Linked DNA regions of Lytechinus pictus. The main gene of each other region encodes a partner of the protein of the gene in region 2 in a complex. Links are inferred from orthologs where the notes say so. Each region holds a gene or a part of one and is shown on either strand. Other genes may lie near its edges. The genes, in order: glutamyl-tRNA(Gln) amidotransferase subunit A, mitochondrial-like; glutamyl-tRNA(Gln) amidotransferase subunit B, mitochondrial-like.

Region 1 (16,269 bases), on a different chromosome or scaffold from region 2:
GACCAACTTCACAACAGAACGATGCCTGAAGATAAATAGATCCTTCTGTATCTCAATCAAGCTCTAAGGGGGAAGAAATAGAATATTGGTTAAAATAATTATAAATGTTGAGAAGATAAAGTCAATGAACATGACCTGAAGGAGTGTCCAGAAGAAGGTATAGAACTGTCAGGAGTGGAGATCTTTCATACATGCCAGGAGGCATAATGGGCAATAAGTATGTAAAATTATAGTAAAGAAATTTATAAAAAATACAGTATTCAAGGATGCAGTCAGTAGGGAATGCACACATGATTAAATGAATCTTCTAAAATAATACATACTGATTTGATAACACGTAATTTTATGGTGTTAAAATCATTGTTAAAGAATTAAAAAAAACATAGACAAAGACACATTGTGTAAAATAAGATGTGCATGACAAAATACTGTAAACAAGCTAACCAGGAAAGTGTTATGAATCTACTTGGAAAAAGGGCTAACACTAAGATAGGAGAAATAACTGACTTACGCCAGGCACGACCCACTGGCTACTGCGACACCACTTCCTCCTGAGCTGCCTCCACTAACGAACCAATCAGAATCAATGATATCATCTTCAGAACTATAACTCCCTCCAGTATTCTGGGCTTGACGTTTCCTGACCCGATGAAAGGGGTACCTCCATACATTACGTGTAGGTCCAAACAAACTGTCTGTTGTACCACTCCTTCAGACAAATATCACAAGATGAAACGATGAAAGGACTTTAGGTATTTTCAATAGAATTTCAGAATGTGTAATAAAAAATTTCCATTCTAAAATATTTAAATATTATAAGCTGGAGCACTTTAAATCATCTAGCTCACCATTATCATCTTTGACATCAATGAGGTGCTCTAAAAGTAATTAGAGGCTTAATTTGTGAAATGCTTCCTAACAAAGTACAAAGGGAATATTCTTCTTACATCATTAGCTCTACCAGGAATAGAGTAATTTAACGTAAATTGCACACATTTATAGATATCAAATCAAATAATAAATTATAGAAGTCCTTTCCAAAGTAACCATAAAAAATAATTTTGAATTGGATCAGGTCTCATCTGTTAAACACAGAATGGTATTAATGAATCAGCAGCGAAACCAGATGGGAAGCTAGCTGACTGACTTGTTCAAAATGTAGGAACAGATCAGGAGTGCAGTGTAAGCACTTTCTTTACAGCTTGTATGCTCATGCAAATCCATCAGCAATAAATAAAATGGGGGCTTGGGGCCAATTCACCCCTGAAATATATCATAATACCCTGAAAAATTTAAGAGAGCCCCTAACACTCCCATAGGATCCAATGTAAATTATGACACAATGTAAAAAAATGGTTGTTGAGTAAAAAAAAAGTAGCCCTGGAATCAATCAATTCATTAATTTATTTGTTCTGTATAGTCTTGTCTGCTGAAATAACGATACTGTACTCCAATACATTAATTTAGGACAGTAATGATTCTATTATCATGTTATAAAACAGCTTACCCCATGGCAAACTCATCAAGGTTAGTTTTTCCCAGAAGGATAGCACCATGATCCTGAAGTCTTTCTACCACCGTAGCTGTGTATGGTGGCTTATAATCTATAAAGAAAAATAAAGAATCAATGAATCATTGAAAATTGTACTCGGCTTTGATAGGTATTTGACACCATTTGGTTGTTGACCAGTAAAAGGTGATGTCCATCATCCAGAGGGGAATGAGAATGAAATAAATGTAGAAGTGTTATAGCTCAGTGGATAAATCTCTAGATTTTGAACCACAAGGTCCAGGGTTCAATTCCCACCACAGCACTCGCAGCCTTTGCCAAGGCTTTTATCTACATTTGCCACTCTCCACCCAGGTGTAGTAAATGGGAACTCAGTAGGAAGGAATTCCTTGAAGGCCTCAGTGTCAGTATGGAGTGCTTAGAAACATTTGTATTAAGCGTTATATAAATGTATATTATTATTATCATTTATTATGTATGATTTAATTAGCTATGATCTAAAACACTGTCCTCTAAACTAGTAGCTAACCTGGCCAGAAATGCCAAAAGCTGAATTCCCAGAATTTCTATGGTGTAAAAGCTTCTTAGCTGTACATCCAATAAGAAGCTCTCATTACATGCTTTTCACATACATGTATAGTCAAGGGTAAGAAAATGAATACCGGTAATCCTCTTCCTATGCAAACTTATCGTACATCTAAAAAGTGCTGAAAAGTAATGCAAACCATACTATCAGAAGACACAACTACACAAAGTTTACTTACTCTCTAACATTTTTGAGCCACAAGTTGTTCTAAGCCCTGTTGTGCTGTAGTTGTCCTTGATAGTTATAGGTATCCCACCTAAACAACCTACAGATGCACCTGATAAATGACAAATTGGATCATTGATTCATTTAGTGTCACTCTTTGAAACATAATTGAAATTCTAGAATATAAACTGGCCAGCAAAAGAAAGTACCCACTTCTATCAAAGGCTGCACACAAAAATTCACCCCATAGAAATAAACAATTTTGTACACAGGTATGCTGCAATATCCATTAGTAATCACATACCCAACAGGAAGTGATTATCTTTATTACAAAGAAATAAAATGACATGTACAGCATCTTGGTCACTGAATCAAAAGTCACAAAATGTAACAGAATGAGCCGTCCATTCACTTTGACATATTGGTTGTTAAAAGATGTTGTCCATTCAGTGGCCATTTTTGCTTGGTGGAAAGTGCTTTTGTGTGGGACTTTTGATTCAGAGACAAAGATGCTATGCATGCCAAGTTCTTCTTTGTTATGAAGATATTCAATTGCTTATGTACATGTGATTAGTAATGGGTATTGTAGCACACCTGTGTACAAAAATTGTTTATATTTATGTCGTAAATTTTTGTGTGCGGCCTTTGACAGGGGTGGGTACTTTCTTTTGCTGTCCAGTTTAGTATCAATATACTTATTAAATCCAAGAAGAATCATATAGCAACCTTTACTTGTCAAATCTGATTACCAGGCATAAACTCGCTAACCTGAACATCTATGTAAGAATAATGCATTTAATGAAATTTAAGCCTTTTAGGGTAAATTAAGAAGAAAATATATGGAGGGTGAAGGGATTTGGAAAAGGGAGAATAGTGTGGATTAAAATAATAGTGGGTTACAGCTGAAATCTGGGGAAAAAATAGGGCAAAAATACTCAAAGCTGTAACATAAAAAAAGTTCTGGATAAGACCGTAAATAACCTTTAATTACTTCATGAAAATCTTTATAATAAAAAGTTTGGTAAAAGAAAAAAATAAAGCTTGCACAATTCTACACCTTCATCATTTTCCCTATCTTCATCAGATGTAAACATAGGTGAATCTAACAACGTAGAGTTTATGATACTCTAATACTTTACTTCTACAATTTGGATGAACATATTCAATTAATAGAAATGTGTTTCAATATATGTGACATTCAAAATATGAATTTTCAAAACATGGTATGTTATTGAAAATGCACAATATAATATTTCCTTCAGGAAACATAATGTAAACTAAATTGTAAGCAATATGCATAATAAAATATTTACCATGATCAAATATGAATCCAACTTGTTTTTAATAATAGCCAACTTCATATGGAAACACAGTAAACAAAAACTGGATAAAATGAAAGATTACAGTATTAGGACTTTATCTTCTTTAAAAAAATGAGCAATTTGCTTTCTATGTTAGCAATTTGTATTTGGAATAAAATTCCCTTTCAAGTAAACTCCTGTTTAGTCAATTACATGTTGTATGAAAAAAAGCATTGAAAAAACATTCACCTCAATAAGTTATAGTTAATTTTTCATCTTCAGAAGATGTAAACATAGTTAAATCTGAACCAAGATATTATGAAAGTTTAAAACTGAGTAACACTAATACACACAAAAAATTTAAATATTTTAATCTTGCATGAATCTGAATCATCCAAGAACTTCAGGAGAGATAACACATCATGCTTTGAAAATTAATATTTTCCACATGTTATTTGTTGACCTTTATCTATCATCTGATTCTGTGTTATTCTCATTACAGTATCTCATTGTTTTTCTGATTTGACTAATTTGATATCTTATGAAGATGAAAAATAAAATGAAATATTGAAAAATTGACTACACAGAATGTCTGGCCAATTCAGATTCAATCAAATTTCTATAAACCAAATTGAAAAGAGAGACACAGATGCTTATCAACAAAAAATGTTGAAAACCTGAAATTTCATGGCATCATTTGTTATCTAAACACTGACAAACACAACGATGGAATCTTTGCTTGGAACATGAATCATATTGTGCATAGTGCTCTAAGCAAGATTGGAATATTTACTATAATTTACCATGAATTTTAACTTTAAAAAATCTAAACAATTGAACACTGAATGGAAGAATGAAAAATTTATTGACCATTAAGAAAATGAGAAATCTGCTTTCCATAATTGAAATTTGTATTTGGAATAAAAAAAAAAACCTTCACATAATCAGCAGTCTCTTATGAATTAAAAGTTGTGTGAAAGAAAATATAAAAAAAAGATTGACAAAATCTACCTAGATTGTAACATAAATTTTTCCACCAAAAATATTTTCATCTTCTGAAGATGTAAACATAGTCAAATCTGAAAAGATAGAGATTATGATAGTTTAAATGAATAACACAAATAAACTAGATTCATATAAAAAAAATTCAATCTTAGCCATTGGAAAATTTAAGACTAACACTGTAACAGTAAAAGTGAAACTACCTTTATTTATTTTGTCTTGGACTTTCTTTGCATCTTCCAGTCCTTGATCAAAGCACTCTGTTACAATAGCATTCAGCTCTTTACAGCGCCTTGCCCTCTCTGCACATCTGGAACAGAGCTCAGTGACCGAAAGCCGACCATCACGTAAGCGAAGAGCAATCTGCAATGATGGAAATTTAAAAAAATGAAACTTTGATTTGAAAAATAAACTTTTCATGCTTCAATCTACATGTATATTTACATCTGGAAAATAATATTAATAAAGTTAAGTCTTAAGGCTATAGTATATCTATGTTCCGCAACTTTGACTTTGAGTGGATTATGTCAAGAACAAAATTATCAAATAAATCAAGTGATCACCCATCAGGCGATTATTAGCCCCTCAAGGCTCAAGCTCAACTAACTTATAGTATACCCAGAAAATAGTTTTTAAACAGGTAAGGAAATAATTTAGATCCCAAATTGTTTGGCATTTATGTAGATCTTATTCTAATTTTTAGTTAGAAATTATGGAATTAACCGAACACACATCAACTTAATTAAGTCTTAACCACATGTATGTATGGTGATATAGATCTAGGCCATAGACTATAGTGACTGATAGATTTGCATACTGATCTATGATATGCCGCCCCCACCCTTTCCCCTCGATCACATGCTGCAGTCCCAGGCCCAAACTTGCCAAAGTCAACAAATTCACGAGTGAAGAGTAATCAATATTGCAATAACATAAGCTCTCACAATTTTTTGAGTTTGTGGGACTGAGGTGAACAAAATAATTCCCTGTAAATTAAAAAAAAAAAAGTCAATTTAAACATTTACTTCAGAGAAATACATACTACTTTTACATGAACAAAGAGCCGAACAAAAGATATAACAGAAACATAAATTATATTTACCTCACGAATAGATAAACCGAACATTTTTCGTAAATCTAACTGTTATTGGAAAAGTCGCAGCGCACTCAACTGTCGCGAGAGAAAACGTAGATTTTTGTCCAGTCGTTTTATCAATTATCTTTAAAATGCGCGGCGCAAAAGTACGTGCATTCTCTCTTTCTTTTCCGGTTAGCGCCTAGCGCATAGCTAGGAGAATAAACTACAACTCGTTGCGTGATATTCTCCCTTTTCACTTCTCAAACCTGAATTTTGACAAGAAAGACTGTGAAAATGCCACGAATCCAGATTAAAGGAGGTGTTTGGAGGAACACTGAAGTAAATATTTATGTTTTAGTCTTATTCTCCCTTAAAAATATGTTAGTTTGAGTTAAAATCCATCAGAAATTTCAGTTAAATCGGCGATCTTTGCAAAAAAAACTTGCATGTTTTGCAGTGTATGACGTGCTTTTTGAGTGTGTATTGTGCATTTTAGGGTAGTGTGAGAAAGAAAATTCAAAATTGAAGGTGTTGAAGGATCAGAAATTCAGAATTAAGGAAAAAGAAATGGTTTTAACTTTTATTGTGGCAAGTTTAACACCCATCATTAATGGCATGCCTCATTAATTTAAGTTAAATTAATTTATTTCAGTCATCAGTCACTATCACTCAGTCATTTTGATTCGAAGTGGAGACCGTCCCGATGCCAGGACGTTACTGGGCCAGGGCCAGGCCCTTGGCCTTCATAAAAAATGGCCAACAGAGAATTTAAAAACAAGGGCCATCAAATTGAAATACATTATATGAACATATTTTTTTTTAATGCACCAAGTATAGAAGACATCACGTCGAGACGGGAGATCTTATGGGACACTCTTTATTTTTTTTACGGAGATTACGGAAAAGAATCCGTGTAACTTTTAGAATATTTTGTCTAGCTACAAATAGGTCAGTTTTACCCCTAATTCATCATAAAATTTAATTTGTTTATTGGGGTAAAAATGTTTTAAACAAAAGGATTTAAGGCGTTTTAAAACAAAAAAACTTTAATGTTATAATACAACCCTGTTTTAAAGATTAAATGACCTCAGTCCTCCTCAGTCCACATGTCTGCTGCTTGTGAGGCTTGACTTACTCTTCTGGTGAGAATTTATTCATGGATTTTAAGTACATTTAAGTGCAGGTAATCAATGTATATCCACATGGATTAAGATGTATTTCGATATAAATTAGAAATATTTATTAGTATGATTTCATAATTGAACTTTGAAGGGTTTTATTTTTCAATAACCTATTATCCTATTTCTTTTGTGCATTAGGATGAAATCCTCAAGGCAGCTGTGATGAAATATGGCAAAAACCAGTGGTCTAGAATTGCTTCACTGTTACACAGGAAATCAGCTAAACAATGCAAAGCAAGATGGTAAGTTACATCAATTTATCATGGGGATGTAGTGTTTTCTTAAAACTGTCCATATGGAAGGTATTCCTAATTCCTTATCAAATGTGTAGATATTTCATTTGCTTGTGCGTTGAAATTAGAATTCAGCTTTTCTCTTGTTCTTCATCTTAGGTTTGAATGGCTGGATCCGAGTATCAAGAAAACAGAATGGAGTCGAGAGGAAGATGAGAAGCTCCTACACCTGGCTAAGCTCATGCCTACCCAATGGAGGACCATTGCACCCATTGTGGGACGTACTGCAGCACAGTGTCTGGAAAGATATGAAATCTTACTGTAAGTTACGATCTCACTCTTCAGTGAGATTTTAAATCTAATTTATAGGCCTTTGGAGTTTGAAATGGTTATCAAATTGTAATTCTTGTGCTCTGATTACTTCTGTATTGTGCAGTTTTGTTCACAATTGCTCTGCCAAGCAATGAGATTCAATTTGTCGTAACTCATTTATGAATGTATCATTATCTATTGCAAACCTATTGATGTATTGGCTTTGGTATCTATATCATCACTTATACATGTTTAAGTGTCTCTGAATACATAACAGTTATGTATTCAGAGATTTGAGGAACACATGCGTAACAAACCAATCATACAGCATGTATTTCGCATTGAAATTGAGACACAGAGGCCATACTGTTTGCTTGCTTGGTTGTAATAGATATAACATTAACTTTTGATGGAAAATGAATGAGTATTGATATCAAACTATGATTTAGGCTCGTACCTTTGTTTTAATAAAGCAACAGCCTTTGTGGAGTTGTCATGTTCAAGTGGTCAAAGGAACCCTATTACACATGAAGGTACAGGGTTCAAAACCTGACCACAGCACATGTGCCTCTGAGCAAGGCAATTTATTGTCACTGCCCTGTCATGTCTTATGAATGGCTACTTTAAAGGTTCGTCCAAGATAAAATAATCCTGTACGATACACATCTGTAAAATCAAAAGTCTCATGAATACAGATGAAAGTCTTGACTTCAAGTTTGAGAGCACACATGGGAAATTTACTTCCTAATATTACCTTTTTAGATAGATACATGTATGAAATATAGTATTTTAGAAAGATGTTTTTAACCTTGAGTAACTAGTTTCTTTTAGAACTAAGTTCTTGAACAGTTTTACATTTGAGATGTTGGTATCATTTTGATGACCAGTGATCAAGCGCAGAAGAAGGAAGGTGATGGGGATACGATGGATGATCCAAGGAAGCTGAAACCAGGAGAGATTGATCCTAATCCAGAGACTAAACCAGCTAGACCTGATCCTATTGATATGGATGAAGATGGTAAGGAATGAAACGATTAAAAATCATCTCCTGAAACAAACTAAAATAATGATATTCCATTCTTGTACATTAATAGGGCATTTCACATTATCATGTAACAACTCATGTGCTTTCAAAAGACTTGATATTATTACTCTGGTTTTAGCCTGCATACTTTTATAGCACACAAACATTTCTAGGAATAAATTCCTGACAGATGATCATTAACCTCACCTGGTTCAAAATAGACCTTATACAAATATGATACTAGACAAGCCTAAGGAGATGAGGAAAATTGAACTTATCATTAAATGAGATGAGATAAATGTTAATCTGAGATAGAAATAACTCGTACTATCCACATTGATATATGCAAATTTAGCTAATAACATAAAAAAAAAAACAAGATATCAAATGGTGAAGATCTTGCCTGCTTTGGTAAACTACATGTTATCATTATATTAGGAACATTGTAACTTGTTTTGTTGATTCATCTCAGGTCTAAATAACTTGTAAAATGTGGATAGTGATAAATCAAATGGAGTATTGCGTGCACTATTGCCTGTTTAAAGTTTGTTAGGGTTTGTAATGTACATCTCTATGTGGATATAGTAACAGATGTATCAAATAAAAACTTGAATGTAAATTTGATCTCATTTCTTACAACTGTTTTGTTTGTTTACGTCCTCAATATAGAACTTGAGATGTTATCAGAAGCCCGTGCTCGTCTCGCCAACACGCAGGGTAAGAAGGCCAAACGGAAGGCTCGTGAAAAGCAGCTTGAGGAAGCGCGACGTCTTGCAGCTCTTCAGAAGCGTAGGGAACTCCGGGCAGCAGGTATCGAGGTCAACAAGAAGAGGCGCAAGAAGCGAGGCGTTGATTACAATGCTGAGATTCCGTTTGAGAAGAAGCCAGCGCCAGGGTTTTACAACACAGCTGATGAAATGGTCGCACCTGTGGATCCAAACTTCAAGCGGCTTAGGAGAGAGGATATGGACTCTGCTCGTAGAGATGAAATTGAAGAGGTACATTTCATGTTTTTAATAAATTGATTGATGAATTGATTTATTGACTGATTATTTGAATTAATTAATTGATTAGATTATTAAATAAATTGATCATTGATGGGTTGATTGGATGATAGAAAATGTTCCTTTTCAATATATTTGTAAACCATTGTTAAAAGTGTAAATTATGAAGTCAAATTATCGGAAAGAACTGTTTGACACAAAAATGGAAAAGAATGGAGAACAATAGAACGGAATCAGTCAGAAGGTAGAAACTTGATAGAATAAGACAGTACGTGTACATGACAAGATAAGAGAGCCTTCTTTTTTTAATAACAAAACAAGATAAAAACAAGTTGCAGAAGATTGAGATTTAAAATGGGAGGAAGAACTGAATAACATTCCAAAATTGACATTTGTTGTATAATAATTGTTTAACGCTATACTTATGCTAAACAAAAATGCCAGTTTTGCCTGGAAATTCCCAGGCTTATAATTTCATTGGGAATAAAAAATTCATTCATTTCTAAACTGACTTTAATTGGTATTACATGTACAGTATATAGCTAGTTGTGTTACCAAATGGATGGGTAAAGCAGCCATGTAATGACAATATGAATGAATAAACTATTTCAGATGACATTTTTTTGTCTTGTTGAGCACTTCATGTTAATGTCTTAGATGAACCATATGACCTTATAGGTTACATCTATATTTTCATAAACAATTCTTTTTCAATTTCTCTGACAGAGAGAACGAAAGAAGGATAGACAGAAGTTGAAGAAGAGGAAAGAGAATGATTTGCCTGGAGCTATCGCTATGACAAACAAGTAAGTGTAGAACTGTCATTTAAATTCGTGTACAAGTGTAATGATACAAAGCTTGTTTACCAAGATATTTCATCAAAATGGCAAAGTATGAAATAATCCAACACTGAAGTTATTAGCATGGTAACATTGAAAAAAAATCTTTAATAGTATTAAATGCAAAATCTTTCTTTGCTCATCCTGTTTGAGACAAGCAAATTGCATTTTCTAATATGTTATTTTTTTTCTTTTCAGAATGACCTATAGTGAATAAGCTTTTCACTGCTATTAGATATTCCATGGTCTGACTTATTTTCATGCTATGTTATGCACTGTTTCATTTGTTTTCATAGGATGGCTGAGCCAATGAAGAAGCGTAGCAAACTTGTCTTGCCTACTCCACAAATATCTGATGCTGAGTTAGAAGAGGTAAGTTCAAGATGAATAAATGATATTATATATATATCTACTCTGTGTAAACTTGGGCCTATTTTTAGTATATTTAGCAGCATAGAAAGGTTTTGAAAGAATTATACCCTTGAGAATTTTCCATCTTATTCAAGAGTATTAATTAGGATTTGAATTTGTAGATTTGGCCTTCACTTTTTTAAGTTTTTTCTCTTTGAAGCCTTATCCAATGTTTAGTAACGCAAGTTTATGAAAACAAGCAGGGATCATAGGGTCAAGGCACGAAATTTATCATTTATTTGAACTTCAGGGCCCTGTGGCATAAAAGTAAACATTATGATAACTTTGCCATGCAATGGTAATTTGCGTGGAATCCTTGATTCTAATTGGCTGTTGATCAGTGTTACCATGGTAGTTACCATTAGATGGCAAAGTTACCATAATAGTAACTTTTGTGCAACGGGGCCCAGGCCTTTTATGGCCAAGGTTTGAAAGCATCCAGTTGTTTTAGTTTCCATTTCAATCCAATTAGTATTTGAATTTTAATTGTCTAATATTCATCACTGTTGAATATTGTATTTACATAGTTTTTTTTTCCATTCTATTTCATTATATTTAATTAATTTTTATGTTCACTTGCTCCTTCAAAATTATTCATTATCTATGTACATCACAAATCCTAACATGTACCTATTTAAATTGTTATTGTTGCTTTTACCCATGTATGACTTGTGAATATTTTATTGTAAACATGCTAATTTCAGCCTTTTGGCTGTGTAACATGTATTGTTTTTATACAAAATAAACCATAATTGAATTGAATTGAAATAGGTAAATGTCCAATGTGTTTTTTATTCGTTTGGTTTGTACGAGTATCAAAGACTTCTTTTATTCAATGGAGTAACACCAAATCTTTTGTCCATATAGGTTGTGAAGCTTGGTCAGGCTAGTGAGAATGCCCGTCAGATCGCTGAGGAGGGAGCTGTCAATGGTGCATCGGATGCTCTTCTTTCAGACTACACTATGACACCAGGACCAGCCAATCTCAGAACTCCCCGTACTCCTGCAACACATGATACAGTACTTCAGGTAATCATCACCTTGACATTCTTCCTTTCTTGCCCCCCCCCCCCGATTGTCGAGGATCAGTGGCTATCTGTGTGTTAAATCTTGATGAGTAAAATCTTCTCTATTTGCATTTGATGAATTTCATGAATCTGTGTAAGGTAGGAAGGAATTCCTTGAAATTCTTGGAGAAATGTCTTGAAGGAATTCCTTGTTTGCATGAGCACCTTATCGGATAGCTGTGCTATAGCTGGGGTAATAGTAAGAGGACTTGCATTAAGCCCTATGTAAATGTTGCATATTATTGTTATTCTATACTGGCTGACAAAGTGCCATATAATTATGAGGAGGGTAATAGGAATCTGGTAGTGAAGATTAAGGATTAATCCATTACCTTCTGGAACTGGTTAGTCGATGTACAAAGCCTATGGGAATGACAGAATTCAAAAGTCAAAGGTTGTACTCAAGTAAATATACTTGTCAATTTTTTCCCATACACTGGATACCTGATATTGTATAATAGATCCAGAGATGCACCTCCAATTGTTTATCTTTCTACTCTTTTATCTGTGTTCAGGAGGCACAGAACATCCTTGCACTGCAGAACGTTGAAACGCCATTGAAAGGAGGTTTGAACACAGCAGTAGGAAGCAGTGATTTTGATGGTATCACGCCCAAGAGACAAGCTACACAGACACCTAACATGGCGTTCAATACACCATTCAGAACACCAGGTCATGAGTCACAAGCAAGTATGTTCAATTTCACATTTTCACATTCAAATTTGTAGAGACAGTTACGCATGGAGATATATTTAGAGTTCAGAGTTCATTGTTTGTCCAATTTCTTTTGATATAGAGCCTTAAAAGTCCTATGAGAGAAAGAGTAAATAAGCTCTGCATATTTTATGCCTATTTTAATGCATCTGCATCTTTCCTTCAATGCCATTTTTTTGTAAAAGGAGAATTAATCACTTGATTCATAAGGACATTGTTTATTAACTTTCTCTATTTATAATTAATTCATGAACTTGAATAGAAAAAAATGCAGCAATGAAAGAAATATAGTGTTGCCCATTTGAAGAAAAAAGCTAATCAAATAAAACATCAATTAATTTCCCTAATAGGCCAAGACTGCAAGTCTATATATCCCTTTCTAACGATTTGATCTATTATTTCTCTCTGATTCTCTCTCATAAGTGCATTTGAGAGAAAAAAGCAGGACATGACATTTTTGGAGCATTGTGGCCCAGTGGATTAGTCTTCTGACTTATAAACAGAGGGTCGTGGGTTCCAATGCCAGCCATCGCTTCATTTCCTTCGGCAAGATGGCTATCCACATTGTGCTACACTACCCAGGTGAACTGCGTTATTATTATTATTATTATTGTTATTAATTTATCTTATCTTATATTTATCTTAACTTATCAGGTTTGACCCCTCGGATGACCCCACGGATGGGCACTGGTGGAGGCCAAACCCCAGGTCAGACTCCGCTACGTGACAAACTCAACATCAATCCCGAAGAAGCTCTTATGGAATTTGATAATGTACACAGTGCCAAACAACAACAGGTATGTTATTAACACTAGATTGTATGTTACATTGCCATTTGGTCTACACCCACTTTGTCTTATGTCAGTTTGATCTCATTCAAAATGGTAAAGTTCGGGCCAGGGATGGGGAGATAATGACCATATGAGGCAAGGAGAAGAATATGCAGTGTACATAACATTACTTAACTTTTTCCTCTCTTATAAAGTTAAATTCTAGTCTATTTTGATGAAGAGCACCTGGATAAACAGGCTAAAGTATAAACTATTGTAAAAGATGGAGCCCAGTCCTCTCATAGTGTATCATACTTGTAGTGAATTTCCCTTAAAATGCCAATGATACCTTCCCTTCAAATTGCTTTGTTTTTATTTCGGAGGGAAATGAAGGCCAAACTTCGAAGAGGCCTATCATTACTTCCAGCTCCAAGGAATGATTTTGAGATTGTGAATGACACGACATTGCATTAATTATTTTGTTTATTTCAGAGGGAATTGAAGGCCAGCCTTCGAAGAGGCCTATCATCACTGCCAGCTCCAAGGAATGATTTTGAGATTGTGAATGACACGACATTGCATTAATTATTTTGTTTATTTCAGAGGGAATTGAAGGCCAGCCTTCGAAGAGGCCTATCATCACTGCCAGCTCCAAGGAATGATTTTGAGATTGTGAATGACACGACATTGCATTAATTATTTTGTTTATTTCGGAGGAAATTGAAGGCCAGCCTTCGAAGAGGCCTATCATCACTGCCAGCTCCAAGGAATGATTTTGAGATTGTGAATGACACGACATTGCATTAATTATTTTGTTTATTTCAGAGGGAATTGAAGGTCAGCCTTCGAAGAGGCCTACCATCACTGCCAGCTCCAAGGAATGATTTTGAGATTGTGAATGACACGACATTGCATGAATTATTTTGTTTATTTCAGAGGGAATTGAAGGCCAGCCTTCGAAGAGGCCTATCATCACTGCCAGCTCCAAGGAATGATTTTGAGATTGTGATACCAGAGAATGATGAGAAGCTGTTAGAAGAGCCTCAGGATAATTCAAACCTCATTGAGGATGCATCGGATGTGGAGAATAGACGACTTGCAAAGCTGGCAGAAGAGAGTGAGTCCTTCTTTGGTGTCTTTGCTGTGAAATCTTTAGCACCATGATTTGGCTTTTGAATGACATATTTTCTTTTTTAGCAAAAAAGCAAGTGATTAAGGTTGTCTGCTCAAGTAAACTTTTTTCATTTCCTCAGAAGGTTTAAGTGAATTACTCAAATGCACTCCTTTTAGATTCACCCTTTAATGATTAGAGTACTGATATGTTATGACTGGAATCTATCACACGGCTTTAAAATAAGTTTTAATCCAACTCTCTGATACTGAATTCATTTCACCATAATAAATGACATTAAAATATTATGATAACAAGGTTGAAGGATGTCAAAACCATGATCACTTATTAAGTTTATCTTTTCGAGGTCGACTATTGGAAATTGCACAAAATGGAAGAGCTGGGACCAAAACAAAAATGACTGTAATTTGATTGATACTCTGTGATATGGTGGGTGTTTGCCACTAGCAGACCTGCAAACCAATACGTTTTAGCCGTATTTAGTACGTTTTTGCAACCAAAATACGGCAGTATGTTTTTTCTTTGAAAAATATGATTTTTGTAAAAAAAAAAAAAATAATCTCTATATGTCTCTATTTCATAAAACGTCACAAATATGGTTATTAGATCAATGTAATTTCAGGTAACTTGTTTTTTTTTTCAATCATTTTGTTAAAACCAGGGTGAAGATATACACATGTTTTAATATTTTTTTTTTCCATCTGCAAGAGCAGTGCGCATTTTAGCTTGCATGCAGCTTGAGCGCCGCGATGAGCGAGTGCGCCAAGTATTTTGTTATGAAATACACTTTTTTTTGGAAAATACAGTTTTTTTTATCACAGACTACAGTTTTTTATTCCCAGAGGTTGGCAGGTCTGCACTAGTCTGTCTGTTAGAATTAGAAAGCTTTGCATGTTTTGATATTTAAATACGATCATGGATATAGTGACCAGACATGTCTCTTTAAATATGATTCCTTATTATGAATATTGCAGGAGAGAAGGAATTAAGGAGTAGATCTCAGCCACTCCAGAGAGGTCTTCCAAGGCCTGTGGATATCAACACATCTATCCTGAGACCAAAGGACCTTGAGACTCCTATTACAGAGCTACAGAAGGTGAGGGACCTTTCCTGATCTTCTTATGTCTTGAATAAATGGAGTATTTTGTTTAAAAGTTGTAAGGCCATGTCTTTTACTGATGGATGGATGAATGACTGACAGCATGAATTTGTGGATGAATTTATGAATGAGAGGATGAAAGGATAAATGAATAGATGAATGTATAGATGAAGGCATAGGTGGATGTGTGGATGAATGGATGGATGGACAAATAGATAGAAGAACTAATAGATGGAAGGATGAATGGATGGATTAATGAATGAATAGATGGGTTGATGGATGAATAAAAGGATAGATGAAAGAATGAATGAATGGTTAGATCATGGATGGATGAATGAATTGATGACTGGATAGATTAAAGATTGCATGAATAGATAGAATGGTGAACAGAGAGATGAATGGATGAGTTGATGGATGGACAATGGGATTTAGGGATGGAATGGATGAATGTATAGTTTGGAAGGAATCCTTTAGAATAATGGTATATATATATTCAGTCGCAACTGATGAAGTTTTTAATATCCACAATACCTTTCACTGATTCTGAATAATATCATATACCTTGCAGGCTGAGGAGATGATCAAGGTGGAGATGATAACGATGCTGCATTATGACTCCTTGAAGAACCCTGTTGGGGATCAGCCAGGGATGAAGAAAGGTGATAAACCAACCAGTAAGACCAACCCAGCTGCACATGCAGCATACCTTGAACATCGTCCATATCACCAGTATGAGGAGGAAGATATGAAAAAAGTAAGTAGTCAACTTAAATGAAGCACAGGAATCATAAGAATATGGGGCTTGTTTCGTTAAACCACCAGAATTCTTACTTTGTATGGA
Region 2 (16,758 bases):
TGGGAAATCATTACTTAATAGAAAAGGAATGAAGATTACTTAAGAGAATGAAAGGACTTCAGAGTGGAAAGAATGAATGGCAACTGAATATATCAAAAGAGAATGAAAGTTTGATCCTTCCATTATCTTTATTTTGATTTGTTGTTATTCCTGGAGAATAGACTAGTCGGGTAGTAGAGACCACATTGCCCGAATTCACAAAGGTGGTTTTAAAAGGTTTATACAAATTTCCTGTATAAATGACACCCATTTACCACATATAATAAACAACGACCAATGCTGATGCACGCTTTTGTCACAGTGCGCCAAATGTACGCCTGTTGCCATGGTTAACACGCTTTTATTCACGAGTCCACTGTTTTGAAGAGTGGACTCATGAATTAAAATAGCATGCTCAACCATGGCAACTGGTGTCCATTTGGAGCACTGTGACTAACACGCGCATCAGTATTGTACATTTTTTAAAATATAACTGAAGCATATTTCATACAGGAAATCTGCATAAACTATGGGTTCAAACCTATGGTTTTCAAAATTACCTTTGTGAATTAGGGCCAATGGGTGTAGCTGATGTAGTGTTAGCCCGGGGGGGGGGGGGGGCACTTACATTGTCAAGTGGATACCATGCGCGACCAAAAAAAACATGTAACAAGTGGAATGCCTCTGGCCGTCTCACCTGCATCACGCGATTCAATATAGCAGCAGTGCTGATTTTGAAAACTACTATAACTCGCACAAGATGTTCAGTGATACTTGGTTACTCTTATTTCCACGTTTTATGAACTAGACCAATACACTTATAGAGATATGATGGCAATTCAACAAATACCCCCAACGTGGCCAAAGTTCTTTGACCTTACATGACCTTTGACCTTGATCATGTGACCTGAAACTCGCACAGGATGTTCAGTGATACTTGATTACTATTATGTCCAAGTTTTATGAACTAGACCAATACACTTATAGAGATATGATGGCAATTCAACAAATACCCCCAACGTGGCCAAAGTTCTTTGACCTTACATGACCTTTGACCTTGATCATGTGACCTGAAACTCGCACAGGATGTTCAGTGATACTTGATTACTATTATGTCCAAGTTTTATGAACTAGACCAACACACTTTCAAATTTATGGCTGTAATTCAACAAATACCCCAATTTGGCCAAAGTTCATTGACCCTAAATGACCTTTGACCTTGATCATGTGACCTGAAACTTGCACAGGATGTTCAGTAATACTTGATTACTATTATGTGTAAGTTTCATGAATCAGATCCATAAACTTTCAAAGTTATGATGGTAATTCAACAGATACCCCCAATTCGGCCAAAGTTCATTGACCATAAATGACCTTTGACCTTGGTCATGTGACGTGAAACTCATGCAGGATGTTCAGTGATACTTGATTAACCTTATGTATAAGTTTCATGAACTAGGTCCATATATTTTCTAAGTTATGATGACATTTCAAAAACTTAACCTTAGGTTAAGATTTTGATGTTGATTCCCCCAACATGGTCTAAGTTCATTGACCCTAAATGACCTTTGACCTTGGTCATGTGACATGAAACTCAGGCAGGATGTTCAGTAATACTTGATTAACCTTATGGCCAAGTTTCATGAACTAGGTCCATATACTTTCTAAGTTATGCTGTCATTTCAAAAACTTAACCTCAGGTTAAGATTTGGTGTTGACGCCGCCGTCGCCGCCGTCGGAAAAGCGGCGCCTATAGTCTCACTCTGCTATGCAGGTGAGACAAAAATGATGTCTTTTTCAAGATAGGGCACGTTACGTACGTAACATAAGGGTGTCAAAAATACTAAAATAATGAAAAAAGGGTATCTATTTTCGCTGGGAAAGCTTCGTGTTTAGGGCAAAATTTGCGAGGGTATGAAAAATTAAGACTAATATGTTTTATAAAGGATGTACTCTTTGCCCCAAGAGTCAACACTACGTGGGGGCTGTACTAAACCCAATGATGTAGGTAAAGGTGAAACCGACGACTGACGTCCGCGACATAATTGAAATATCGCTGTACTTGTTTAGGGGTTCAATTCAGGAAATACTTGCCAATAGTAAAGTTTTGTTTCCAATACTTGTTAAGGGATGGGGTTTCACAAGCCAATACTTGTCAAGGGGTGCATTTTCAGAACATGGAAAATACGTGTTTAGGGTGCTTTTCAAGACCCCATGGTCGCGCATGGTATCCACTCGTCAATGGAAGTGGCCCCCCCCCCCCCCCCCCCCCCCGGAGTGTTAGTTAATACTACCCGACAAATAATAGACCAATTGCTAGTAAATAAGCCTCCCAACTATACTAACCGGAAGAGTACCTGGCAGAGAGGCATCAAAAAAAGAGACTAGCGAGTTTGGTGGTGCCATGAATTGGGCCTTAGAAGCAGAAAATAGTTTGGTATTGGAGAGTATCTGGGCATGAATCTCAAGGCCAACCATGCTGGACCATCCTTCAAATGAACTATAGAAATAAAATTATCAAAAACATGAAAATTCTTTAAAAATATTACTACTGAGGAGAAGACAACAAAGAGGAAGAGGGGAAAGAGGAAGAGAGGGAGGAAGAGTAGAAAGAGGGAGGAGGAAAAATGAGAAGGAAGAGACTGAGGCCGAGGACAATGAGGAGACAGGGGAGAAGGAAAGGGAAGAAAGAGGAAAAGCAAGAGGAAAAGCAAGAGGAAAAGGACATGGAGAAGGAAAAATGAGAAGGAAGAGGCCGATGAGGAAAATGAGAAGAAATGGTCCCCCCCCCCCCCCCGAGTCCGCATTCCTAGCTTAAGTTTAACACTGAACAGTGCAGTTTCATTTGTCATTTTGGCGACGTGTGCTTGATGCAAACCACTCATTCTATGATATAACCCTGTTCTCTATTACTACTCCCTGTGTGGTGAAATAAGGTTGGCAATGTTTGGCTTATTTTCTCTCTTTCTTTGGGACAAATGCTTGATTTTTGGCACTGTCAGTTTCCATTACAGCTATTCATCATATAACTTGGCTCTAAAGTAAATTCGATTCTATAAATTATTTTTTCTTAATTAAAAATAGAGATTGAAAAATGAGAATTGTCTTGCCATATAGAGGGCGTACACGAAAATATGCCCAAAATTCAAGTTTTCAAGCGCTCTGGTGAAAAAAGTTACTAATGAAAAATAAATTGCAACTGTATGGACTATGGAAATTAGTATTTTTGGTCACAAAAGTGATATTTTAATGATTTTTTAAATTGTGTGCTGCGTACAGCATTGCCATTGGCATACCAGTCCTACCTGTAGATTCCCCACAGGCAGGATGATAATGAAACCTTGAGTGGATGCAAACAAGTACCAGGCATCTTTGAAATTTGGCGTAGATGCAGTTTCGTACGGGCCGACTTTGAGCAAATTTCCCCACAAGAAATTGTTCGCAAATGTCATCTGATCATGGCAAGTCTCTCAGTCACATTTCAAGGTCAATAAACAATATTCCCAACCGCTTTTCCAAATATCGGGAACGGCTGGATTTCGGCTCCTAGTCCTAGCTCGATCATTATTATCGTTCTAAGTAATATTAACCAGTGGGGAAATTTGCGCTAAGAGTCTTACTAGTAAGACCCTAAGTCCTAACGCCTAAGTCGGGCCTAAGAGTAGGGTGTCTGAAGCCACACTGAAAAGTGTCAGCATAAAACAGGCTGATTTTAGGAAAAATATGGCACATTTTTTCGGGAAATTCAGGCTGCTAGAAAAATGTGATCTGAATTGATTAACTTGTTTGGCATGTATGGAAAGAGAAAATTCAGGGGCTTCTTTTGACATTAAGGACAAGTTTATAGGATTATATGAAATAAGGATTTAGAGATAAATTGCAAACCCTTATTTGTGTGTGTGTTGAGATTGCCATTTCCCCATGCGTTTTCTATGGGAAAATGACATTTCTGTTATGCACAATTTTTTTCACTTTGTCGCAATTTTTCATTGTGATCTGGTTTCCAAGTCTTTATAAAAATCATACCATCAGAAAGCGCATGAAAAATCATATTTGACTCTTCATGGACAAGTTTTTGGCATTAATAATAAATTTATAACAGCTCTCGGAAGCTAAAAATTTGGATTTGTGTGTGTCCATTTCTTAACTACACAGTCTATGGCAGAGAAATGCTGAAAATTGACCTAACTTCATTCTTTTTTGCAGCCAATTATTGGATTAAAAAAAAAATGTTCAATTTCTGTCAGTTTGAAGCCGTGAAGGTCATTATTCTTCAAATTCACAAAGAAAATTTGATATTTTCTTGAAATAAGAAAAAAAAAAAAAATTCTCCAGACACCCTACTAAGTAAGACTCGCAATCGGCCAGTGCAACTGCAGTCTGTAGCCTGAACTGCTGAAGGCTATTAGCGCAAATGAATTTTAATTTCCAAACGCCATGCTTATTAGGACCTGACTAACGTTAATCATTGTTAACAAATGTCAGGGTTTAGCCTAACCCAGGGAGCGCCGGCCCGCGAAGCGGGCCGGCGCCCAGGAGCTCACCGTGTATTTACCAATACTCACAGGACAAGGGTAGATTATGGTCAAAATATCTACATGTAGCAAGATAAATTGTGAAAACAGAAATTATGCACTTACCACGATTATATGGATGAAGGTCTATCGAGTGGTAGAATCCTGACATCCAGGCACAGACTGGAACCTCAAAAAACCGAAAAGTTCTCTCCTTCTACCCCAGTCTCGATCGGCCATTTTGTTATGATTCATAACAAAAATGGCCGATCGAGACTGGGGTAGGAGAGAACTTTTTGTTTTTGAGGTTCCAGTCTGTGCCTCGATGTCAGGATTCTACCACTCGATAGACCTTCATCCATATAATCGTGGTAAGTGCATAATTTCTGTTTTCACAATTTATCTTGCTAGATATTTTGACCATAATCTACCCTTGTCCCACTCACACTAATACGAGGTTAGTATATGTACTAACCTCGTACAAGGGACCGTGTTTGACCCTGGATTTCGAAGTAGTCGGCAAACATCGCTTCATTGCTGAAGTAATATCTGCCGAAACTCCTTCTCGCTAAGCACCGGGGCTCTTTCCGGTAAGTAGCAATACATAAACAAATTATACATATGATTTTGAAATAATTTCATTATAATAAAAAGAGCAAATTTCGCTTACCTCGGCCTAGCAAGTGACTTCGTTTGTCTCTTCTACGGAAATACAAGGAAGCCCGTTGGTGGCGCTAATAAATTTCACAACCTTGATTCAGCTCCTCTGTAATTTTATAAGTATAACTGTCTAAATTCTTTGAATGCGCAATTCTTATGATTAATTTACTAATTATGGGCACCAATAAATGAAATACAGTTCAAAAATATAATTCAAGATTACTATTGGCGATGATAACACTTTTTTGCAATTAATTTAAAACGATGACTAATAAAATAAAATTGAGAAAAATACACATGCCTGGAACGAAACCAGCAGTACAACAATTGAACAAGCTTTAACGAACGTCAATAATACGGTATACCAAAGTCTATACAATGAAAAGATTGGACACTTCACGGACTTCGCGTAATACCTTGCGTGGATTTGCGTGTAAAATAGTGTAGGTGCCTAGTCTTTCCCTTGTCATGTCTTTGATATGAATATTAATATAAATCGCGCGCCCTCTTTAGGAGAAAATTGATATCCACGCCAACCAATTTTTATCTCCGTGAAATCTTCACTAAAGATCAAGAAAATATAGGGCCTACATATTTTTTAAAAGAAACTTCAAGGAGAAGTCACGGAAGGATCTAAATGATTTGGTAAGTGTCATACTCATACTCATAGCAGAATGTGAAATACCATTTGTATTTGTAATAGGCCTACCAGATTATGCGTGATATTTTATGTGGGCAAAAGCCCAGTATATTTTGGATGTGTCGTGTGAATATGACTGATATTCTTTCGCACGCGAGACGATATGAACCCATGGGTGCACTTGTCCCGTGAGTATGGGTAAATACACGGTCGGTGAGCTCCTGGGCGCCGGCCCGCGCTCCCTGCCCCTGGGTTAGGTTTAGCCTTTACTTTAGGCCACGCCCACGCCGCCTTCATTCGGCAGCGGCGCTCTTGAGTTAGCGACGCCGACAGCTCCGGCCTCGTTCGTCCCGCGGTTGTGTTCATTTTGCCGGCCGTGCACTGCAGCGCCGCGACCCGGCCGAGCCGAGATTGTCTCGGTGCAATTCCACGCAAAGTCAGACGACTTCACAATGATTAATACTAACCAATCAGAAGTTACAGAATAATTTCTTCGTTTTATTGCTCTCCAACCACTATAAGATCTTCTCAAGGAAATCACAACCGGTTTTTGGAAGGCAGAAAACCTCCACGATGTGCTCATGCAAGCTGCCATCTTTAAAAACATCGAATGTGCAGAGCGCCCTCTTGCGCTTGTACGCGCACGCATGAGGAATGCACGGGAAGAATGTTCCCAAATATAATTTATGCGTTTACTTTTTAGCAATTAAAGATTCCCCCTTTTTTAAAGTATTTAGCATTGTGCTTTTTTTTTATTTATCCCCTCCCCCCCCCAAAAAAAAAAGAGCGAAACTATCAAAATAAAGATAACACAGAAGCCAACTGATGAAAAGTAAGAGAATTGAGCATTTAATTTTGTAATTCTATTTGGTTAAAAAAAATATTTTACTTATTTTATGATGAAAATTTGTATTATCTTTAAAAATAGAAAAGAAAAGCGGGTGTAGCAATTCGGACTATTACTAAGGGTTGTTAGTTATACATGACTTTGCTTATGACTAAGAACAGGTTCTTAAGTGCCACATCAAATTCTCAAGATTTCCGTCAGCCCCCGGCCGGCCGTTAGCTAAAAGTTGAAATCTGATTATTGTAACGTTAGACAAAAACTCTTGTCAACCAGCATCTGAATGCATATTTCAAAATTTGTCAATAATCTAAGGGCAACAGGGAGTTCATACCCATTACGTTAAAAAAACATGTAAATTGGGATCTCTCAGTTTTAGTGCAGGATGAAGAGCCCAGTTCATAACTTGTAACAAATTTGCAATTACGGTTAAATAAAGCTACTGAAATCCTTCAATCTGATGATAAATTTGATGTGGGAGTTGTGCGTTTGTTATTGTAACAAGTGTTTATGAAACAAGACCTGATGCGTTGCCAGTCATGTGTCATTAGTTACTTACAAACAGCTAGTTTTATGAAAAACCCCATTTATCAGGCCTGCCAACATTTGAAAATGAAAAAAAAAGGTATAATCGCACGGCGCAGATTTTTCTGCTCGATGTCAGGTGTGTCTCCCTCACTTTTTTTTTTAATCAAGACATGTTTAGCATTCTTATATTTAAATATTGAGAAATTACACGTTTTGAAAAACTATATTACTCTCACACCCATACCCCGCCACACAAATACATGTACACGGGCCAATTTTTTTTTTTATCTTAAATAAATGAAAAACGGAGTGCTCCTCTTTTGCTGGTTGATAACAAATCTCAAAAGTGGGGTAACTCCAGGAAAAAAAGTAGTTGGCAGGCCAGATATATTATCAGAAGGGAAATTCCATGAAAGGATCAAAATGTTGGTATTGCCAATCCCCACCCCCCCCCCCCCCGGCCCCCACACACACAGTTCTTCTGCATTTTAACTTTGACTTCATGAATTTCTGAAACCATGATGACTTACCCACATTGTGCTGCACTCAACTCAGGTGAGGAACGCAAATGGGTACCGGCAGATGGTAATTCCTCAAAAAGCTGTGAGCACCAGAATTGGTAGACTAGCTAAGCCAGGTTAATATGGGAGCGCCTTGAGCACTTAAGGTGGTTATATGTGCTATATAAATCCTATATCATTTATTATTACATGTATTTATTTATTTGAAAGCATTACAACTTTTGGTTCCACGACATTTGTTACAGTGACATTTGCTCTATAAATGCAACACACTAATCAAATGACTAACTTCAACCCTGGATTTAACACTATACCCTACCTTAAACCTAACATAAAACCCTATTGCAACCCTAACCCCAAAACTACGTCTTAGACGAAATGAAAATAAAGAACAATTGTCGCAGAAGCAAATGTTGCGTCACCCAACTTTTCATATTTAATATCCAATTTAGTATTTAATAAGGACGCATTTGGCAGTGATATGCGCTATATAAGCATGTTGGTATTATTATATATTCACTGAAAAACTGAGGCAAATTGTTTCAGGAAGTTCCCACATATAAGGGATCATAATTATGTACACACTTTATGGAATTTCCAAAAATTTCACATGTCAAATGTAGGTCTTCTCTATCAATGAGATTTCATTTTCTTTTCTTTTTTCTGTTGGAGAGTTAAATAAATCACTCACAATACTACTAACTTCTTTAAAGGGAAATGCTATCAGAGAAGAAATCAATAAAAACATTATTTTTATATAATTTCACATTTATTATGATATATCTCATCTACACCACATCATAGTCTCATTTCTGGGTCTGGTTTCATAAAGAGTGGTTAAAATAACAAATGCACATTTTCTATATCAAGTTTACAATCAGCCAATCAAATCGAATGATTTAATTTGCTTTAAACTGTTATTGAAAAATTTGGTATTATAACCAGTTATATGAAACGGGCCCCAGCTCTGTAGGATTCACATTCATTTATATACTAAACATTATGAAAATCTCCACAGCCTACCTGCACATTACCAAATATAATCCCACTAAACAAATTCCCAAGATAACCAAGAACTTAGGCAGTTTTACAAAATGATGTTGTGGTGGCTTGATTATGGTGACATTTGTGCTTTGCACAAACAATGAAATCACACATCCTTGATGCATAAAACTGACACTAAAATAAATTTTCTTGTATAATAATAAAACATCCTTTGCTAACATAATTGTATGTATTTACTGATGGCATACTAAGTATTAACCACCTCAAAAAACAATGGCATGACTAACAAAACAAAGATAAAGTATGATTTAATCAGTTCAGGAAGAACATATAATATTTCAACTTCTTCCAATCTAGAAGGCTTGCCCATCAAACTTTAGCTTGGAGAAACTGATTTTCGATATATTAACAATTTCGTTTAACAATCTTGTTAGAAATATACCCTGACAAGCCTTATCTTTTTGAGCATATGACACAGAATTTGAGAATTATTAAAAGTAAAAATAATTTTGCACGAAAATATATATCACATTATCAAGATGAATCTGTCATATTGCTTTTAGGTGCTATAAGCAAAGTATGACTGCTTTGCAATCACTTTCAACCATGTAATTATATTACAAGCTGTAAAAAATAAAATCTTTGTAGTTCATAATGCAGTATCTGAAATACTGGTGACATTACACTCAATATATTTAAAATTTGTGAAATCCTACATTTTATAACCCCTTCCTTTCACAAATACTACAATTTTACCATTTAACTTTATTTTAGAAAGAAAGGATAAATAGAATGCAATATCTAACTGACCAAAGAATTTGGTTTGACTGACAGTTTTTCAAAGTGTAGGACAACACTCAAACACTAGCTAATCACTTCACAGAAAACCTTCTGGGTTGCATGCGTGCACATTAAGTTATTGAAGCAATCATCAGACACGGACAGATACAAAGACTTAATCAGTCACTATCAGTAGTCCCCAGCTCTGCCGAATATTTCTTTTGGTGGAATACAAACTATGATTGTCAACAAAACATGTAATGCATAAAGTCGCTCGTAATTTCATGAAACACCGGACCGGACATTAATGCGTTTAATAGAAGAGGTATCAATTACAAACACTTCAGGAAGAGGAAAGGATAACGTTGAGGGCTGCCACAAAATACAACCTTGCCTGGCATTGCATCGGCCAGCTAATATATTTGATATGAATCCCACCGCTGCCACCAATAAGGATCTATGGCATCGGGTCAAAGTGCACTGGTAGGAAAGGGTGATGGAGGTAGTCAGACGTCGGACAATGCAGCAATACCTGGTAGGTTCTTGCCTGTATGGGATATGAAGCAAAAGAATGAAGAAAATTCTTACAAATTGGTAAATAACAGAGCACAGAATACTTAAACAATAAAGCGAGATGAATTCTCAAAGACAAACTTGAATTTCATGCCTCTGGCATATGTAAAGATAGAGAGGGAGCAGATGGCAAAGGGTGATTTTCATGATATAGGTGGGGTGCATCTCACTTGCTTCCACCCCCCCCCCCCCTGAGTCTATATCTTTCTATACAACATACCTTCCAAGAGCTCTAGACTAGCCCCGCCTCCAGTACTGACATGGCTGACGAGATGCTCAGTGTTATACTTTGCTGCACACGTCGCAGTATCACCTCCGCCTGTCATAACAAAAATATATACATTTTTTTTTAATTTTTAAGACAATAACATATTACAATATTTCTCACCAGCAATCCCAAACCCCCTCCCCCTCCTTATCACAAACCCTCCCCAAATGGATTAAGATTCAGAGGTGGATCTATGCCCCAGGATTGGCTCCTGTGTTTGAACTTTGGTTACTATCAATTGTATGCCAGTGACAACAATGATAATAATATATTGGACTTTTATAGCGCCGAATCCACTCTGTAGAGTGCTCAAGGCGCTATTCAAGAATTATGAAGGAAATTAAGAAGAACTGAATAGCAATGCTTTTAGGGTTATTTTTGTATACAAAAACTCCTCATAGGTAAAAGTGATTGGCTGATAGTAAATTTGGCTGTAGAAATTTGAATGTGTTAATGACAGGTTTTATGAAATGGGACCCATGCTGACTGAATGTTTATGTTGGGATGAAATGTAAACCCAAAGGACAATATTCTGAAATCCCCATTTAACTTAGTCTGAGGTCATGGTCTAATTCTGTGGCAAAATGGAGGTGCCGTGGCCGAGTGGTCAAAGGCGCCTGACTGCACATAGAAAGTCCAGGGTTCTATCCTCGGCCGCAACACTTACGCCCATAAACAAGGCAATTGATCTACAATGTTTTTATCCCGCATTCAAATAAATGAAAAATGCTACACACATTCTTGCTAAGTAGGTGTGCACTTGTTGTTAAAAAAAAAATTCTGTGGCAAAATTATAGGAAGCCAACAAATTTCTTGTTACCATGTTCTTTCATTAATAATGATGAAGGAAATTATATAAGAAATTACTATAAAATACTTCAAAATGAATTGAGCACCAAATGTGCTGACAAACGGATCCTTGTCTCACAATTGGCTATCCATAGTTAAACCATGACTTCGAAGTTGTGGCAAAATTATAGGAAGCCAACAAATTTCTTGTTACCATGTTCTTTCATTAATAATGATGAAGGAAATTATATAAGAAATTACTATAAAATACTTCAAAATGAATTGAGCACCAAATGTGCTGACAAACAGATCCTTGTCTCACAATTGGCTATCCATAGTTAAACCATGACTTCGAAGTTCAGAATAAGGGTCAGAGGATCTTGAGCACAAAAATGTCAAAATAACTTAATGAATGGATGGATGGATGGGTTGGTGGGTGGGTGGACGGGTGATGGATGGATTGATGAATGAATGAATGAATCAAATAATCAATCACAATCGATCAATGAATCAATCAACCACTAATCAATGAATCATTCACTCAGTAAACCAATCAAATAGCCAATCAATCAATCAATCAAAAGATGAATGAATGGATGGATGGGTGGATGGATGGGTGGATGGATTGATGAATGAGTGATTAGACAGTCAGACCGCAGCTCGCGCGATAATGAGCATATTCACGGAGATTTATTCAGCGGCCCTCTAGCGGTCTCCGAAGGAAAACGTGCGATCAATTTGGCTTGATTTTCCCACTGAATTGGAGGGGCTGAAGTTATAGCTCTGCACTGGTCGCTAACTTCAGTTTACGTCGAAACGAATTGTGGTAAGTTATTCTCAAGACCTTCATCTACATTTTGGTATATAATTTTCCATATTTCGACATTTTCAACCTACCATTTTTACCTCTTTAATTGATGCTTATCTTAGTAATATTTTAACTGCGATTTTGTAGTCGGAATTTCACTTTTGGTTCCTGACTTTGCTACATAACCAAATTGTTTGAATCGGGATTTTTTAGAAAGAAGAAAAGTCACTTTTCAAAATATGTCAGAACCAACTTGACGCAAACTCACCTTATATTTTTATTTTAGAGAAAATGATACCCTAAAAATCAAGAAATTTACGTTTTACCCGGAAGTAACCTTCTCGTTCACTCCACGATGGCGCGAAATAATGCCAAAATTACGTTCGTCGCGGGTTGGTAGAATTTCGCCTTTGGTCCCATACGTTGAAACTTCTGTAATGATGGCAGATGGCTCGCATTATATTTGTGACTGTGGACGGTGGACTTGTTTTTTTTTTTTAATTAAGACTTAATAATAATATAAACGAAGCTTGATAAGTAGATCCCTTCTAAAGTTTTATTCAAATGATTATCAGGTTTCCGAATTCCATCAAGTTTTTATAGATTGAGATATTTCTTGATTTATGTTGAAAATTGTTAACCTTTTTCCTAGTCGAAGTTGAGCCCCATGATGATTTTTGCCCCAGGCTGCGGTTAAGAATTAAATGATGATTAGCTCAGACAGTCTACTCTAGAGACTATAAACAGTTTAAAGTCAAAGTAAAAAGTCTGGTACTACCGTACTCAGTAGTATTTATAAACCATTTTGTTCAAATAAAAAAATTGTGGCTGTCACAGACAGTACTTAGTTAGTCTCTTAATTGACTTACATGTAACATAATTCATACTTTGAATAATTTAGACTATTTCTCTCTTTTTTGTCTCTTCTACACACAGATCTGCATACTTGCTGACTCTGGTCTCTGCTTGCTTCTTCATTCTGGGAGATTCCATCATGTCCTATAATGGTCAGACCATGATTTGGACAAAGCCCTTTTTTCGTTTGCAAATTTTGGACTGATAATGATACAACAGAAAATTGATCTTTATCGATATTGGAAACAAAAAAATTAGAGCACAGTTTTGGGGAGGACTAAGAATACTGACTTGGACAGGAATACAGCTTGACAAAAATAAAAATTCACAATTCAAAACCAAAGAAAATTTTTAATGCATTGCAAGAAACTTTCTACTCAATCACACATTCCAAAATTAAGGGTAAGTCCTTTGATTAAACACAAACATGTAGTTGATTTGCAATTGAACATAAGTTTCTTGCAATGCCCCATAATTATATTTTGTTCTCAAGCAACTCTGTTATATGTTATCTAATGTGCTGAAGGTTAAGTGCCATGTATGTTCACAATTTTTTTTTTCGAAAGGTATAATATATTTGTCGTTTTAAACGGTATTTGAATGTGGTTACGCCTTGTTTTTGTTTTCCACAGTAATTATTGCATATATGAACAGAAGTGAAATATTTGTTGTGAAGCACTGTATGAATGTTGTGTGATCATGGAGCTATGGTGTGATGGTATTATAATTAATTCATAATTTTTGCTATAAGACTGTAAACCTGGTGGATGTGAGGGAGTGGCCTGGATGAAAGGAAAGTGAGCATGTGTCCAATTACTGATTTGCATATGTTTAGACAATTTTGATCGTGGATAAATATTAATGTGCATTCCCTATTCCAAGCAAAGAGTAAAGGAGAAGTCCACCCCACCAAAAAATTAATTTGAATTTAAAGAAAAATAAAGTATTGCAGAGAATTTCATAAAAACTGATTCAAAATTCAAAAAATTACTATTTTGACATTGAGAAATTTGCCTAATTTTATAAAACAATTATATGCTCATCTTGGTCAATGTGCAAATTACAGAACCGATTATGTCACACGCACTCTAATTTCTTGTGTATTTTTTTGTTTGATACATGTACATGACATGTATATTTTATTTTAATTTTCATTAACAAATTTTGAGAGGGATTTTAATTCCTCCATTAACATTCGTAGTTTCCATAAATGTAACCTATTGTACGAAGCCCCAAACCGGACATTTTTGACATCCAAAAAAAAAAAAAATTATCACGTACGTACGCAGTATACGTACGTACGTGATAATTATTACGTACGTACGCAGTATTATTACGTACGTACGCAGTATTATTATGTACGTACGTGATAATTATTACGTACGTACGCAGTATTATCACGTACGTACGCAGTATTATTACGTACGTACGTGATAATTATTACGTACGTACGCAGTATTATTACGTACGTACGTGATAATTATTACGTACGTACGCAGTATTATCACGTACGTACGCAGTATTATTACGTACGTACGTGATAATTATTACGTACGTACGCAGTATTATCACGTACGTACGCAGTATTTATTACGTACGTACGTAATGTTATCTCCCAAAAGGTCATACATGAATTCAAATACCGGTAGTTACTGAAATCTGATCACGCTAGCGCGAAGCCCGCAGGCTTTAAATTTTTATGTGGGCCTACAATAGGCCTTCTGCTTTGATTGTTCCCGCATAGAATTTCCCTTTAAATACCAGCCTCTTCAAATAGTTTTTCTTTTTTTAAACACCTATACATCTTCACTTAATTTACATCAATTAATACCATATCATATTCAAATTTAAGCAGAGAACGAAGCAATTTCAAAAGGGTGGTAAAATAATAGGGGCTCATACGTGTCGCGTGTGGGTACATTTTTGAAAAAAACTGTCTCGCCAAAACACTAACATAATAGGCCTTTAATTGTCCTTTCCCCAATGTGTTTCTAGCAGTTTCTGAAAGGAATGGTTTAATTGAAAACACAGCCTGATGACGAGAACAAATGAAATGGTTATCATATGAATATTGTGGGTTATATAGCAGGGACCTGGGAACTCGCGGGGGTGCTGGGGGTGTTATTTTCCATAGGCAGCACCCCCACGAAATCAGGTTCCCTTTGTATTTTTTATATATGTTATAATGTACATAATTATCACATCCGACAATCGCAAATCATACAACGTCTTTCACATATTCCAATAACATCCCTCCTATAACATGTAACGCGACTCAATCAAGCTCCGGCACGCCGATACAGACGTATGTTAAGGTCTTAAAGAGGACCTGAGCTTAACGTGTAACTCGCCGGGTAAGTTCGCGATAAAGTGTTAATTGCAATTATAATGTACGCGCGCGCACCGAATGCGGAGTTTGTGCGAGAAAATCACTTCAGTTCAGTAGTACACTGTTCCCCGACGGTACCATCAATATTCCATAAAACATGTGAGTATTAATACAGAAAGAATAATACAATTTCAGTTTATGTAATATAATTCGGCGCGTGAATTTATACAATCTATGGTCTACCGCATTCCATTCGTTATTCGTATGTAATTGCCTTGAATACTCTTGCCAGTCTTGGCTGCTCTAAGTTAGGCCCAGGTAACCCAGGGAGCTCCCGCCCGCTACGCTGGCGGGAGCCCAGGGCGCTTACCGTGTATTTGGCCATAGACACCCTGCAGTATAGACACGGGACTAGGGTAATATGTGGACTGAAGTTATTATTATTATTGCCTCCCCCTCTCCAAATGAAAATATGTTAAGTGCCGGCCCAGATTTACTTTTTAAATCCATGTTATTCTAATTTTTTTTAATATTCACGCACAATACACTCTATTAATTCTGCTTAAGTTTTTCTTCCTTTTTTTGGTTTGTAGTCCATTCTATAAATACTTATTAAAAAAAGAGATTTAAGACATATTATAACCTGGTAATATAAGTACCCTATTGTCTTTGCCTACCCCCCCCCCCCCCTCCTCCAAATAAAAATATGTTAAGCGCCGCCCCAGCTTTTACTTTTTGAATCCATGTTATTCTAATTTGTAAAATGTTCACGCACGAAACACTCTATAGGCTTCTGGTTAAGTTTTTTTCTCCTTTTTTTCGTATGTAGTCCATTCTAAAAATAAAAATAAAAGAAATTCAAGACATATAATAACCAGATGAATATACGTTCCCTTATGTCTTGCCCCCCCCCCTCCAAATGAAAATATGTTAAGCATTGCCCCCGCCTTTCCCTTTTCAATCCATGTTATTCTAATTTGTAAAATATCCACGCACAAACCACTTTATAAGTTTTTCCTTTTTGGTTTGAAGTCCATTCTAAAAATACAAATAAAAAGAAATTTAGGACATATAGTAACTTGGTAAAAAAGTGCAGCATATATATGATGAAGAGCAAATCTTACATGTCGAAGGCAATCGTGTGCTTGTGCATGTAGAGGATCCTGTGCGTGCATCCCATTCCAAACAACACAGATGCAAACACAGAGGCACTGCGCGCACACACTGGACACATTTTCAATAACCTAGGGAGCGAGTTACGCGTTAAGCTCAGGTCCTCTTTAAGACCTTAACAGACGTAGTCGCGCGCGATACGTGAAAACCATTATAGTTTACACACTACCATCGCCATTGTGGATTGCTGCCCTCTGTCGGGCAGAGTTGTTTATGTCACACATGCGATCGTTGTCATCGGCCCTTATCCGGCCAGCTCTGTGTAGAGGTACAATGTCATTAAAATATAGACCATAAGATTATTGTGATTGACGTCTAATCATTTAATGGTGTGGTGACAGCTGGGATCTACCCTGTCATTGCCTGTTTATGATGGCATTTGCTCAAACTAGCAGTCAGTCGGTCGGCTCAAACTAGTCGTGATAGGTAATCTTTCCTAATTTGTCGGTCTTGGCTCGTACCTCTCGCAGTAGCTGTAGTCCCATGTATAGC

What was found.
Region 1: glutamyl-tRNA(Gln) amidotransferase subunit B, mitochondrial-like (region 2) and glutamyl-tRNA(Gln) amidotransferase subunit A, mitochondrial-like share a complex: the UniProt entries of both Homo sapiens proteins name them as parts of the heterotrimeric GatCAB amidotransferase (AdT) complex. The link is inferred for Lytechinus pictus from reciprocal best matches to the Homo sapiens genes GATB and QRSL1.

The regions. Positions count from the first base shown.
Region 1 is NC_087248.1:5,491,988-5,508,256, forward strand, and holds the start of glutamyl-tRNA(Gln) amidotransferase subunit A, mitochondrial-like, read right to left. Parts: upstream 6,125-16,269; 5' UTR 5,982-6,124; coding exon of another isoform or gene 5,937-5,981; 5' UTR 5,691-5,936; coding exon 5,667-5,690; intron 4,928-5,666; coding exon 4,768-4,927; intron 2,374-4,767; coding exon 2,275-2,373; intron 1,605-2,274; coding exon 1,508-1,604; intron 710-1,507; coding exon 512-709; intron 1-511. Other genes in the region: cell division cycle 5-like protein, read left to right, coding at 5,937-5,981, 6,962-7,065, 7,216-7,377, 8,256-8,386, 9,062-9,390, 10,123-10,202, 10,532-10,607, 11,514-11,675 and 5 more. UniProt on the Homo sapiens protein: Allows the formation of correctly charged Gln-tRNA(Gln) through the transamidation of misacylated Glu-tRNA(Gln) in the mitochondria. The reaction takes place in the presence of glutamine and ATP through an activated gamma-phospho-Glu-tRNA(Gln).
Region 2 is NC_087249.1:39,943,161-39,959,918, forward strand, and holds the start of glutamyl-tRNA(Gln) amidotransferase subunit B, mitochondrial-like, read right to left. Parts: upstream 6,416-16,758; 5' UTR 6,401-6,415; coding exon 6,261-6,400; intron 5,260-6,260; exon of another isoform or gene 5,164-5,259; intron 2,480-5,163; coding exon 2,326-2,479; intron 1-2,325. UniProt on the Homo sapiens protein: Allows the formation of correctly charged Gln-tRNA(Gln) through the transamidation of misacylated Glu-tRNA(Gln) in the mitochondria. The reaction takes place in the presence of glutamine and ATP through an activated gamma-phospho-Glu-tRNA(Gln).